Astyanax mexicanus: one gene and its partner. The protein of the gene in region 2 binds, or shares a complex with, the protein of the main gene of each other region. Links are inferred from orthologs where the notes say so. Each region holds a gene or a part of one and is shown on either strand. Other genes may lie near its edges.

Evidence for each region.
Region 1: pigc (region 2) and pigh share a complex: the UniProt entries of both Homo sapiens proteins name them as parts of the glycosylphosphatidylinositol-N-acetylglucosaminyltransferase (GPI-GnT) complex. The link is inferred for Astyanax mexicanus from reciprocal best matches to the Homo sapiens genes PIGC and PIGH.

Annotation. Positions count from the first base shown.
Region 1 is NC_064408.1:78,401,364-78,408,883, reverse strand, and holds the start of pigh (phosphatidylinositol N-acetylglucosaminyltransferase subunit H), read left to right. Parts: upstream 1-4,365; 5' UTR 4,366-4,477; intron 4,478-5,262; exon of another isoform or gene 5,263-5,390; 5' UTR 5,391-5,497; coding exon 5,498-5,677; intron 5,678-7,520. Other genes in the region: zfyve1 (zinc finger FYVE domain-containing protein 1), read right to left, coding at 26-530, 2,482-2,952. UniProt on the Homo sapiens protein: Part of the glycosylphosphatidylinositol-N-acetylglucosaminyltransferase (GPI-GnT) complex that catalyzes the transfer of N-acetylglucosamine from UDP-N-acetylglucosamine to phosphatidylinositol and participates in the first step of GPI biosynthesis.
Region 2 is NC_064408.1:62,448,595-62,456,238, reverse strand, and holds pigc (phosphatidylinositol N-acetylglucosaminyltransferase subunit C), read right to left. Parts: upstream 3,124-7,644; 5' UTR 3,014-3,123; intron 1,392-3,013; 5' UTR 1,389-1,391; coding exon 510-1,388; 3' UTR 135-509; downstream 1-134. UniProt on the Homo sapiens protein: Part of the glycosylphosphatidylinositol-N-acetylglucosaminyltransferase (GPI-GnT) complex that catalyzes the transfer of N-acetylglucosamine from UDP-N-acetylglucosamine to phosphatidylinositol and participates in the first step of GPI biosynthesis.

The DNA.
Region 1 (7,520 bases), about 16 Mb from region 2:
TATTTAAAAGGTCCAGAACACTGACCTGAGCCTAGCAACTTGGTATGGACGGTCTCGTGAAAAATGATAACAGCAGGGCCCAAAGTGGAAAGCGGCACATCCAGACCACAGCGGGCAGTGGTGGCTTTCAGCTCCTTTGTAAAATGCTTTAAATAAGCATCTGAAGCATCGCCCAGAAACTTAAACAGATCATCGTGAAGACGGTCGGCGTGTGTGCGGTAAATGACCAGGTCTGACACGGCCAGCACCTTCAACAGGAGACGGGTCCGCTGGCCCTGGTTTGATCCTGCTCCCAGGAGTCCCTCTGTGTCGACGACCACCACCTTATGAAGTGGGTCAAGTGCTGCCCACACTCCAACAGTGCACGACTCCTGCGTGGGGGATGTCTTGAACACTTCACGGCCTTTGAAGAACGTGTGGTTTAGGGTGTGTGATTTGCCTTCCCCAGTATTACCAAAAATGGACACCACCTTCAGCAGTTCATCCGGTACACAGCCCAGTCTCTTCACAAAGTTATCTCCACTCTTTACCTGATCACAGTAGAAGTGCAACATAGTTTACGGTCATCGCTTTTAATATGGTAAGGTGTTGAGTTTTAAAATATACTGAGAAACTAAAATTACTTCATGATATTCCTAAAAAGTAAAATCCATGTAAAAATATTCAAAAACTGTCTGCTTTATAGTTTTGTGGAGTGGATTTATTTCTAATAAACAAAAATAAATTCAGTGTTGACACTTCTTTTTTTTTTACCTCTATATTGCATATTTTCGGCACTGTTTACCAATCGTGGTTCTGAAGTAGCCCTGCACTACACTAAAGCTAAAACCAAGCAAAACTAATGAAGCTAAAACTAATGGAAATCAATGTCATCTATAGTTTTTGATCAATGCCTGCTACCACTGGTTTACCATGGTTCTTCACTGGCATGATTTAAAATATTCATTGGTATCACCTTTAGATCATCCATGATTGACTATGATTGTTCTCTTTTTTTTATTCCTTTAATTCCAAAATACTCAACGAGCAAGACAATTTACAGTAAAAAGGGCCACCCTGAAGTCAATCCTGAGAACCTATGCTTTGATTTCAGTGCACACCAACATAACATGCCTATCTCAATTTTTTTTTCTTTTTTTACTATGGGTTGGCCCCACATATACATGTCAGTGAAGGACCTTATCAGGGTCAGTGATGAGAACAGCAGGAGTAAAACACAAGCCCCATCTGGGTTGCACTGTGAACATAGATGAAAGTAAGGTGTGCTGTAATGATGAGGCACAACTGAGAAATCCAACTGGGTCAAGACAACACAAGACAAGACAACCATAGTGTTCATACTTGTGCTGGAAGCACAGGTGGAATTTGGCCTTCGCCTTTAACCCATTTGTGCAGTGAACACACACACGCATACACACACACCAGTGAATACAAACACCAAGTAACCAGTAATACAGTGAGCTCAATTAGCCAACAGTGGCAGCTTGCCAATCCAGGGTATCAAACCCACAACCTGGTTTTCAATAGCCCACTCAGAGGTCATGCCCACCTCAAACCCACCTAGCCCATATTTCATCAATGAGGGCGCCACATGAGCCTGTTGGCTTGGTGAAATGTACCAAAAAGTACAGCCCTGAAAAAAAAATAAGAGACCACTTCGAAATGATCAGTTTCTCTGATTTTACTATTTATAGGTATATATTTGAGTAAAATGAACAATGTAGTTTTATTTTATTCTATAAATCACTGACAACATTTCTCCCAAGTTACAAATGCAAATATTGCCATTTAGAGCACTTGAAAAAATGAGAAATGGTCAAAAATAATTAAAAAGGTAAAGTGCTTTAAATCCTTAAATAATGCAAAGAAAACAAGTAGATATTCATAAAGTTTTAAGAGTTCAGAAATCAATATTTAGTGGAATTACCCTGATTTTTGATTACAGCTTAATGCATCTTGGTATGCTCTCCACAAGTCTTTCACACTGCTTTTGGCTGACCTTACTCCACTCCTGGTACAAATTCAGGCAGTTCACCTTTGGCTTGTGACCAACTTACATCTTACATGATTACAATTAGAGTTTTTTTTAATGAAAGTTGTGACTAAAACTGTGGGTTATTCTACCCATTGTTGGTTCTAAACTCACCCTAAAATAAAGCTTGCTGTTTGATTGCTGTTGTTCCTAAATGCATATGAACTTGTTTTTCTTTTGTTTGCATTATTTGAGGTCAGAAAGCTCTGCATTTCTTTTTGTTATTTCAGCCATTTCTCATTTTCTGCAAATAAATGCTCTAAATGACAATATTTTTATTCTGAATTTGGGAGAAATGTTGTCCGTAGTTTATAGAATAAAACAACAATGTTTATTTTATTTAAACATATATCTATAAACAGCAAAACCAGAGAAACTGATTCAGAAACTGAAGTGGTCTCTTATTTTTTTTTTCCACAGCTGTATGTGAATCCATCTCATTCCCATACCTGCATATCCTCCTTCTCATCCACCAGCAGGAAGCTGCAGACCTTGTCCAGCTGGGCGTTCACGCGCTGCAGGTCCTCGTCAGCATCAGAGTTCATGTTGGCCTCGGGGGGTTTGCAGGGCGGGTAGGCAGAGAGGGGGTGCTTTCTTTTACTCACGCCGCTGTGAGTGCGCTTCTGGCAGTCCAGGCACAGGTTGATCTTGCAGCCCTGACACCTGACCACGGCCCTGAGGCGAGAGCCGTTGGCAGGACAGCTGCCGTCGCCTTTGCAGGAGTCGCAGAAGGGTACGTGGCCCTGGGAGATCCGGACGCGGTCGTGGTTCCTCATGCGCTCCTGCCGGTGCAGCTCCAGCTCGCAGCGGGCGCACTGCAGGCTGCCGCACTCGTCGCACTCGAAGGCGGCCTCATCCGAGCCGCCGCAGGCGTAGCTCTCCTGGCAGACCAGGGCGCCGTTCACTCCCTGCCCGCTCATCCTGGAGCCACAACTCACTGAATTACAAGCAACTTTAACTTAGCTAACGTTAGCTAACTTGCTCAGACCTCGAAACGCACCTGATGATAATAACCGTTCATTAGAACCATTGAAATTATTGCTTGATCACGAACTCAACCTAACTAGTTATCTGCTTTAAAACCAGTCTGCATAAGAGAAACAATAATAAATAAATACAAAAACACCACACACCCACCACTTAAGGCTATGACACTGACTCCAAACCTTACACGCACTAACCCAACTAAATTAGTTAACTACTAAACTATTGCACCAGTTTAAAAGTTTAAAGCTGCTCTTAAATCCACTTTTAATCACAACCTGAAATAACACCATGTATCCACCACAGATATTTACAGCTAGTTAACTTAACTAGATAAGCTAGCTAAAGTTAGTTACTGAACTTATGACACCGCTGGAACAACGCCCAGATCATTCCATTTGCAAGCTACCTTGGTTAACTTTAGCTAGTTAACTTAACTAAGCTAGTTAACAAATTAACTTGTAGTAAATTAAGTAAGACTCTATCTTTAGAATATTATTAGATAAATCTAACCTAAATTAGGACCATAGATGGATTTTGTTTAAAAATATTTAACTTTTGTAACTAATGACACTCTAGAAATTGATAAATTATCTATCTAGCTAGTTAACCTATCTTTTTTTTTTTTTAGCTAATTGGGTTAACTAAACAAGCTATCACACATACTGGCCTTTAGTATCTTAGGGAACGTTACTGTATATTTAGCTGGCTATTAGCTCCCTAGCTAGCATACTGCCCCGCCACAGTCCCATCTGCTCAAGCGACCATTAGCAGCTAGCTAACTAGCTCAGCTAACTTAATGATAGTCCGTGGTTTAAATAAACAACATCACCAACCTCTCAAAGCCGCTCTCAGCTCTCATATCTAGCTACACCCTGCAATATCACCCTGATAAACGCCACAGGCTACGAGGACGGACGCGGACGGACGTGTTGAGCTTTTGTTCAACAAGCTAGCAGCATTAGCATTTCGTTAACAGGAGGAAAAAGGATACTGCCCTCTAGCTAACACTCAATGACAACAAATAATAGACTTTCTTTAATAAATACACAAATATTAGACAGGCCTGACTGGCTCCGTGCGCCCAGCTGCGTTTAAAACGGTCTGTGAAGCGCGTTTATCCCAAAACAACAACAACAACAGCAGCAGCAGCAGGAGCTCTGGGGTCTGCGGTCAGCAGCCTTCCTGACTTAGCAAAACAGCACAACAAATCTGTATTTCGAGCGAGACAGCGGCGCAGTTTTCACCAGACCGGCCGCAGGAACACACACAGCAGCGCCCGGGCTGTCTCTGGACAGATTTACAGTCTGGACAGGAAGGTCGAGCCGCTTGTTTTGAGAGCAGCTGGTTAGCTGAATAATTCCGCTGGCCGGTTGATTTCGGAGAGTGTTGTTGCCAAGTCACATCAGCTGATCGACTTTGTTTTCAGCCTGAAGGTCGGAGGGGAACGGCTGCTGCAAGGTGAGTAGGGAAATGTAGTGAAAAACCGAGGGAAAAGGCGGCTAACGAAGCTAGTTTGCTAACCCATCTATTTAACCGCTGTTTCTTATCGTCCCTGTTAACGTCTTCTGTTTTTTTTTATGCAGTAACACTGCACTCTTTCAGCAATGCCATGTGTATTAACTATATTAGTGATGCTAAGTGTTTTAATGTATTACATTTTACCGGATGAATAGGATAATCTATGGAAGGTATAGAGACTTATTACATAACTTATTTTTGAAATAACTCGTCATAAATTTTAATTATATTTCTTTTATCATTCTAATTTTACAATAACAACTAGTTAACTTAGTGTCCCCAGCTAGCATAGCCCTGTCAACTCATTTTAATGAGGTGTGGCAATAGGAACAGTGTCTGATGAGTGTTTAATAAGGCAGCTTACATCTGCTCAGTTTATGTATAAGCTAATGGTGTTTTTTTTTGTTATTTTCTTACTAATAGAGTTACTTGAGTTTATGTATTTATTTTATGAGTGTATTCAATCAGGTAATTTGTTACAGTTAAACAGTTAAACCTATACTACTACTACTACTACTACTACTACTACTACTACTACTAATAATAATAATAATAATAATAATAATAATAATAATAAAAAAGAATAAGAAAAATAATAATTATATTAATAAGAAAAATTGTCGACCAAACTTAAGACTGTAAATACATTTTTAATTCCGCAGTGGCATAAAAAAAGAAATCTTGCTTTAACATGTCAGTTTAAACGTGGTAAAACTCAATTTCCCATGATGCACCGTGTTTTTTAAGGTCGCCAGGTTCTGTTCTATCGATGTGAACTGATACTCGCCGAGGCTTCATAGACATTAGTAAATATCTGGTTATATTTGGACTGTCTTTATGTACTGTATTACAGGCTTTAATCAGTATTGAACACACTTCTGTGTTGGTGAGGCGTCTTTCTGACGGGTGTTTCAGCGCTGGTTTGTGACAGCTGAGCTTGTGCTGCTGTCTGCTCCCGTCATGGCTGAAGAAGGACCGTTTACAGACATCAGCGGTAAACCCATCTCGCTGGAGTGTCAGAACTACACTCCTTTCTGCAGAGAGTTCACTGTCAGCTCCCCGAAGGTCTCTCTACTCAAGGTGATGGGGTACACCTGCTCCGTCTGGCTGCTCGCCTACGCCGTGTTCTTCCTCACGGAGGTACGTAAGTTAGCGTAACTTGCTAGGTTAGCTTCGCTAGTTAGCTAACATGACCTAAATACACTGTTGTTTTTTTGCAGTGTTGTACACTGTAAAAATGAAAAGAACAGAACCGTTTAAGTTTTGAAAAAGAAAAAAGAAAGAAAAAGAAAAGAAAAGAAATACTTTTTTTTCATATGCATAAAACTTTAAATATTAATTCTCACCAACTTTGAAGTTTACTTTGTGTTGTTAGTTTGACTCATTTAGGTTCTATGATGTGTTTTGTAAGTTCCGCTGTCTATCCATTAAGGTCACGTTTTACATAAATCAAACTCGCATAATGAGCACTATATTGTTTGTTAATATAAGTTAGCAACTGAGAATTTATGACTATTTTATATCTGTCTTATTGTCAGTCATATAAGTATTGCGGTAATGCAAACAGAACCAGCTGGTACCAGACAGCCTTCAACACTGAGGCCAGGCAGCTACTATTATATAACACATAAGTGAAGACCAAAAGAAGACAGTCTGTGGAGAATGACTGCACACTGATGGTGAGTGAGAGATGGGAGGACACACCCAATATGCAAATAGCATGACCAACATCAGGTGAAAAGCCCCTGCAGAACTGCTCAGTAGACCCTGTTTAACTGAAGAGTAAAACTGAGCAATGTGCAGTAGTGCAGAGTAGTTGGCTTGGCCTCAACTAGGGTTCAACTGCAATTTGTAAAATTTGCCACACAAATGATTTAGTCAGACCAACTTTTAACAAAAAACGTAATAATGTTAGTTGAGGCAACTAGTTTGCTATAGTTTATGGTGCAATTCAATATTTCTTGTTCAGCTGACTTAAAAATCACAGCAAGAAGAACAATTTTGAGTTTGGTTTTTACAGTGTACAGAGAGTACGTACCCTAATGTGACGTAAAAAAATAATAATATAAAAGAGATAATGCGTGGCCACGACTTATTAAAGCATGGGAACGCATTTCCACGCTTTAATAGGTCGGTCACGCATTATTTCCTTTTCTTTTATTATTTTTATTTTTTGCATGATTTCACATTAGGGGCACTGTAGTGTTTTCATGAATAGTTAGTTAGCGTTACCAAGCCTTACATTAGCTACTACTGTGTCAATCAGTAAAGTACTAATAAAATATATGTATGAGTGTATGTATAAAATAGAAAAAGATTAATAGTTAGCACATTTATTGCATGTATATACAAACAAACTGTAAATACACTAGGTGGCAAAATAAATACTAAATAGACTGCTAAATATCACTTTCATCACATATTTTATAATGTAAAAAATGTTTGTGATATTACTGCTAACGATATGATTTGGCGCTCACCTGTAACACCCTCTTCTTTAGTCACATTCTCACATAGGGGTCCGTCCTAAAATGGCAAGAATCCAGCACAGTTCAGTGATTTTGTTGTTGATTAGGGTCAACTCAGTCAATCAGTTATATTGCTGCCAAGCTTATTCCTCATCCCCTGTGCTTGAGTTTCAGTGGGTTAACTGGGTTTCAGGTGAGCACAAGCACAGTCGGTTTAAGATAGGGATGCACTAAAATGCACTAATCTTCTAAACTGTGGATCAAATTAATGTACCTTGAAATAAAAGCTGAAATGTTGAACTTTTGTATCATATTCATCTTTTAAGGTCAAACCCAAATGTTTTCAGTCTTCAACAGAAATAAAGGGATTGGCATCGCTGTTCCAATACTGTTAGAGGGGACTGCTAACAAAGCACAATTTGACTTAAAATTGATTATTTATTAAATGTATTAAGACTAAATTAATTATTTAGTCTTTTGCTTAATAAAAGTTATTACTTTTGGCTGAATATTTT
Region 2 (7,644 bases):
GAGGTGCTGTTTACTTATTTAACCTTCAAAAATCAACAAACAAATGCAATTGACAAATGTACCAACACTTTTGCATGCCACTGTTTGAGATGTACGATTGTTTGGAGCAAAAAAAACATTTCAGAAACTTTACATTAGTATGACAAAGTGTTTTAATTCATAAAAGCACAAAAATTTTGTTTACCATCATATTTTTTTTCATGACTTATTACACATCAAATAAATAACTATAACAAAATGTAATCATTTTACCAGGTATTTTAGTAAGAGTTAAATATTTTAAAAATACTGTTCATGATTATGTGCACGTTGTTTACAGTTTTAGACATTTAGCAGATGGAGTCTTAAAAAAGGAGTGGTCAGTGTAGGCACAAGTTTTCCCTGAGCCTTTATGTTAAAGTGCTGAACATCTGATATAAGCAGCTGTCATAGCCCTCAACACTCACCAGTGTACAGTTAACAATTTTTCAGTATAAAAGAGGTCCATAGTACTATTACATGTGTTTGTGTTAGCTTAAAAATCGTGAGAGGTCCTCTCTGATCTCTGCTTCATCCCACGGGCCGTGGATGTTGTCTTTGTGTCTCTGAAGATGCACGAGCAGCATCGGACAGGCTAAAGTTAGCACTAGCAGAGCTAAAAGAAGGAGAAGAGCTCCTCCTGGCCAAAGGCTTGCCAAACCTCCGACCCCAGCTGTGCACACCAGGCCTGCAGCCAGGGGAAAGCTCCACTCAGCCCGGTCCCTGAGGCGATGGAGCAGGCAGGGCCACAGAGCAAACACCAGGAGGGCACAGCTCAGCATGGCGAAGGTGTGCAGGGCCCCAGGCAGCCGTGAGGCCAAACACACAGAGCCAAACAGCGCTGCGTTCAGGGACAGACTGCCTGGGGGGCTGGGCTGTGTGTACGGGAAGGACACCAGGTGGGCCAGCAGCATCATGGATGACATGGCATAAACAGTGTCTGTGCTCACGGATTCAGTCAACGTCTTCAGCACAGGAGAAAAGCCATAGGTAAAGGCCAAGAAGATGGCTGCGCTCTGCAGGTCTGCCATGCGTGTACGCTCTCCACTGCCTCCTCCCAAAGCCTCATAGAGCCCATAACCCAGAAGTGCACACCCAAGACTGGCCCAGAGCAGGGTGGAGGGTCCCAGGTCTCCTTGATCCATGTAGAACCATAATGTGAGAAAAACGGCTACACAGGAGACCTGCTGAGCGACCAGGCCTGCTTCCTGCACCACAGCCCAGTAGCGGTACTGGTGGACACCGATGTTGCGCTGCAGTTCCTCCAAGAAGCGGCGGTCCACATAGTTGTCAGGGTAGGGCTGACGCTCATACAGCACTTTACGCCACGGGACTGCTGGGGGAGCACCCGGACCACTGTCTGCGCCCATCGCCTGCAAAATGACATATGGATTATGAAGCTATAATACACCATGTGAATTTACTAGAAAACATAGACCCTGTTTTCACCTGGTGACCTCAAATGACTATGGCTAGATTACATCCAACTAAAAAGTTTACGCAGCAATTATTACTTGTGTTTTGGTTATATTGGGAGGAGTTTTATTTGTCTTGGAGAGAATATTACACTTCAATGCATCTTGAAACACCTCAAGTGATTTGAGTAATCAGATTTTTTTTCTCTGATTTGGTGAGTTTACACTTTCCTTTTTAAGGTGACTTATACAGTCATACAGTACTTTAGCAGCTTGATAAATAGAAAGAATAGGTTAAAACTCAAAATGTCTACTCAGAATTCTCTAATTGAGTCGAAATGTTTGAACACACTTTTCATTTTGATGTAATGAGACAGCTTTCATTGATCTACCAATTCTGATATTTTTAAAAGCCGTCTCATTTATGTAAAAAGAGGAATTCATGAATTTAGCATGGACTAGTAAATTTGTATACAGCCTTTGTATTAACATTAAATAGCCAGATTGTACAGTGAAATTTAAAATGAATCAAGTGTGACAACAAAAGTAGTTTATATCCTACACATTTTTATTCTAATCATTTCCTTCTGAATCAAAAAGACAGAGCATAGAAAAATCATAGAAAAAACATTTTTATCCTTCATTTTGGGGAGGGCAACTTAAAAAAAAACAGCAATATAGACACTTCTGTATCAATCCACAGATCAGTAACTGAAAAAAATAATCAATTGTGGCATGTTATTTAGTAAAAAATCTAGTTTTACAAATATTAAGATAATATTAAGACTAGTCAGAACATAAATAATAAGAAATAATGATAAAAATGTCTGAAATGCATACTTGTATTACTCCAAATTACATAAAGGATATATCATCCTGGTAGTAAGTCTGGTCAGAATGTATTTATAGTTCTGTATATAGGATATTGTTACTAGTAAACATTTTAGAGTTAATATCCGAAATGAGAGTTTCTACTAGTAAAATTTCAGAGATCTGTCCTTTTAGTTCCAGTGCTTCACTCTGAGTTCAGACATGTATCACCATCAGTCATTACAATACTCAACAGCAAACCTTCGGTTTTTATGTGTGTAGTTCTATTTCGGATAAAAAAAAACATAATAATAGTAGTGCTGAACCTGTAAATACAAATCCGCTTTAATCATAACGGTACAGAATGACAGTCAAGAGGAGCAGTGATGAAAAGAAAAGAGCTGGAGGAGGAACAACAGCTACAGGAAGAGGGTGGAGACATTACTGACAGTCTGACTGTCTACTGACTCAAGAGTTCAGCCTTTTCCCTGTGTTCAGGGGCTAATTAACACATTTAAATACTGAAAACCACTAAAAAGAATCCTCCTCGTCCCGTTGTTCAGTGTTTTAAAGGAGTCAGACTCAGTACATAACCGGTTCTGCACTCTGTATCTCTCACTGTGTCTGAGCGTGTCCTCACACAGCGGACAGGCTGGCACAGCTCTCTTTTTCTCTCTCTCTGTGTTCAGGCAGTAGTTACACAGTTACACAGAGGTGTGAGCACTGCTGTAAGGAGATAAACTGTATAAACTGAGGTATTAAACTCGTACCGGATCAGCTGCTTCCTCCTCGCTGCTCACATCTCGCCATTGGATCTGCCGGATGTGACGAAAGCTGAAAACACCAGAGCGGACTGACCGGGCGGGCGGGGTTGCGCCCCCTGCTGGAGGAGTACACACAAGTAGTGAACAAGGTGAGAAAACTGATTATATCCAGAGAAGGGCTTTGTTAAACCAAAATGAGATTTTGATATGTCTATAACTGCCAAAGGGACTGACAGGAACGTTGTATCGCTGTAAAATTAGACTTAACACATTTCAACACTGAGAATAAAAAAAAATAAATCAATAGCATGGTTTACAGAGATCTTTTACACGGGGAGAGAGAAAAAAGAGCACATTAAAAAATGATTAATTAAAATACTCATCATATTTCTAAAGCGTCCCAAGGATATTTATCTTTACCCCTCCTTTTTTAATTGACACTTTATTTGTTTAAAAACAGCCTGTGCAGGTATTTGTGTTTGTTTTATTACAATCAAATACCTTGTCTCACAAATCTTACTATTTGTCACACATACAATTCACCAATATAATTCTTGTAACTTTTTTGACACATTGTCCTTAAAAATGACATACATCATAGATTTCTCATATAACTCCAACTTCACACCAAGCTCTCTCATGTTTTCCCAGACTTCTTGACCCTCACATTAGGACTCCCTATCTCTGTAAATGCTCCCAAACACCAGTCGAGTGAAAACTAGCATCTGCGTCTTCTGAAACATGTGAAGTCACACACTACCTCTTTACTAACCGCCACTGATGCAGAATCAATAGGTAGTCAGAACACTCAGAGGAAAGTGCAGCGACTCAGCTCTGATACACCAGCTTACAAACGCCCGTGCTGACCAACATTACACTATCCCAGAGACTTTTTTATGGTCATAAATTGACAATTTTTTGACTGCCTGAAACAACACATTCTGTCAATCCCAGAAATGCACAACTCCAGGCCTGGAGGGTCAATTTCCAGCAAAGTTTGGTAGCATCTTAAAAGGTGAATCTTAAAAAAATTTGAATATCATTGAAAAGTTACTGTATTTTAGTAATTCAGTAAAAAATGTGAAACTTACATATTACAGATAATATGACTCTCCAAACCGTCACTGATCATCAGTAAATTTTACATTTTATTTGTAAAGCAAGGGAGCAGAGTCTGGAGGAAGAGTGGAGAGACACAGTCCAAGCTGCTTGAGGACTAGTGTAAGTTTCCACAATTAGTGATGGTTTGGGGAGTCATGTGATCTGCTGGTGTTGATCCACTGTGTTTTATTATCAAGTCTAAAGTCAGTGCAGCGTTTTCGTACAAAATCTTACAGCACTTCATTCTTCCCTCTGCTGACAACTTTTATAGAGTACCAGTTGAGTCACTGATTTTTGGGTTTTCATTGGCTATAAGACATAATCATCAACAATAAAAGCTTAAAATAGATCACTTTGTGTGTAAAACATCTATATAATATATGAGTTTTACATTTTAAACTGAATTACTGTATATACAGTACACTATCTAGTAGTTGTGGAATAGGAGGCACATTATAAAAGTATCTTTTTCTAATGGAAAGAGCAGAAGAGCCCCAATAGATGGGCACTCAGTAAGACACATTTTTAAAATGTTTTAATATGGAGAGCACATCATATCAATTTATTGCAAAAAGACATTTTTTCATAAAAATATTTCTCAAAAGAAATAGGTAATGTAGCTATATATATATATATATACATATTTACAGTTTACCTTTTTAATACAATTGTATTGGTAGAGAAATAGAAATGGCTAATGCTAATACAACATAACATGACTTCTTTGTGCTTTTAAAGCACATCTCAGATATGCATGCAGATACTGGTAAGCCTACATATCTGCAAGTCACTGTCTAGGAAACAACACAGACACAGGATACAGCCTTGTTTGGCAACAATTATTCAAGTGCACTATTATCTTTTTTAAGCAACAGAACAGTGTTTCTCTTCTCCCCGCACACCCGATTCTGTTAATGAGTTAATTTTGAGTTACGTCTTTTCAGAGTGACTGTGGGTTTGTAAAGGCAAGGAATTCCCTAAAATGTGCTAGGCAGGGTGCCCCAGCACCAGGATTGAAAACACTAAACATCATATTGCGGTCTATCATATTTCTAGTCTTAAAGATTTTAATAGTGTTTACCCAAGTTTATATCACACTGTAGGTGGTCTTATTAGCTAAAAATAAAGAGATAGCGAAACACTTAAAAACAATTTTGTTTTAAAAACACAATGCCTTTACCATCTAGTGCAACTTTGGCACATTTCTCTTTTTTAATCCTGTTTTTGAAAAAGTTGTGCCCCTAGAAACGAACAGCCATATGCCAAGCACTTGATCGGCTTAGTGCCTGGACCAGCCCAACACAAGCCCCTAATCCATAGTGTTAAGAATAGCCAGTCAGGATCTCTACTGTCTCCAAAGGTAACCTTGACCCTGGCCAAAATGCATGTTACTATAAATAGTTCAATTAGGACAAAGTTATTTAAAAAAGTTAAAATGGCTCATTCTATCAACATTCTAGGCAAGTTAAGTGCATTTTTAAATTTGTTTTTACATTTTAAAAGGGGGTTTAGGCACCCCAACAGAGTTACGCTTTCAGATCAATTTTTTACCAAGGTCTTTTAATAACTTGTTAAAAACTATAGCTTGGTTCCAGTCATAACATTTCACAACTTTCTAAATACCCTGACATCTCAAAATCTTGTCTTAACAATCAGTTTTTTGCAATCATAATGTAAATAAGATGTGACAGTGTTTTTTTGTAATCATAATGTAAATAAGATATGACAGTTATCAGAAATAGTGCAGCTAATGTTGAGGACTGAAAAACATAACATTTCTAAGAGAACTGCTTGTGGAATTTAAGAAAAGGCAAGCAAATCTGAAAGGCTCTTTTCCTGCTAAAGATCATCAAAATATCTAGTCCCTGGAGTGATAGTGCTCTGTTCTACTGTTCAGCAATTCCTAGTTCAAATATAGCCTTCATGCATATGACTTCATGAGTTACCAGGAGAAACCTCTTCCCAAATTTCCCAAAGATTTTTTTTCAGGAACTACCTAATGAAGCTTGATATGTTTTAGTGAGCAGAATAGAACTCCTTGGCTGCAGAAACCAAAGGTACATTTTGTGCTTGAATTGAAAATAAGCATTATGAAAGTGTTCATTAGAAATTGTGACACAATCATGTCATCCTGGACCCAAACATAATAGCACAACAGTCCTGTGTTTTAAAGCAAGACAATAGAAAAATTGGCATTTCTTGCCTTTGTGCTCCTACTTTCAGGAATTCCTTCTTTGCACAAGAGCTAAAGAACAGGTTTTTCTTGCCGAACTGAGAGATACAGAACCAGGATATTGCAGGATTTGACACAATTATGACTCAAGTTATATAGTGTTCTGGCCACTTCACCAAAGTTACATAGTGCAGGTATCAGCATCAGGAGCAATGCTAGATAAATGATTCACCAGAATGATTTTGAAGCTGTTATTTTAAGGTTGAATGCTACACAATGCTGCATTTATTAAAAAGTACATTAGCTAAAAACAATGGTAGTGGTTAATTTAACCTTTCATGCAGTACACTGATAACTGATTATAAGCTTATATTACTTGTTAGCTACACTGGCCTGACATTACAATGCAAAAGGCAGCAACATTATGGCATCAAAAGTTTTGGCTGATCATTTTTTGTATTTGGGCTAAACTAAATATAATGACAACATACATGACAAAACCAAACCGAACCATAAAACTGCACAGAATACAAGTAAAGAAGAACACGACGAGTAGTATAAATAAACCTTTATGGGTTTCAATACAGCGACCAAACGTTATTGGCACAAGTTCCGAATGGAAAACAAAAATAAACAATTGGCACATATGCAGGGGATGGACTGTTCCAGTGCATTTCTCTGATGTAGTTATGTAAAATAATTGAGCAATGTATTGTTTATGTTACTGCTGGTGAACATAAAGCATATTATCTCATGAATCACAACATTTTATTTAAGTAATATTTAAAAACAAACAAACAACTGAAATACTTCTATGCTATGTAGTGTTTAAGAAGCTCTTCCTGAAGACCTCCAGAAGGTGGCAATGTGGCACTAATGATGCTGTTAAATAGCCTTTAAACCTTTCCAGAACAATGAAAAAAAAATTAAAATGTCTTTACCTGTTGGAATAAAACCCTGAAACACAATAAAACATCCGTGGAGAACTACACTCTTTAAAACAAGGGTTCTTCAATGGTTCTTTAGTAAAGGCAGTGGTTCTATATACAAACATCACACGCTGCAGAACAATTTAGGTAATTAACAGGTCCTTCACATTGGTGGGAAATATACTGTAGATGGTTCTATATACCATTAGAAATTGAGGCAAATGAAGCTTTCCCAGTATGTGAAAATCAAATTCCAGGTTTCTTATAAAGTTAGACTTTAGAATGTAAAGATAAAGATGTGTTAAACAAACTTATTTTCAACCCTTCATATTAGAACTTGAAAAATGTATTTGTTTAAGGTTAAAACTGCAGTTTAAAAAAACTGGTATTTCTATGGCAACAGCCCAGAATGACCTAAACATTGTGCTCATTTA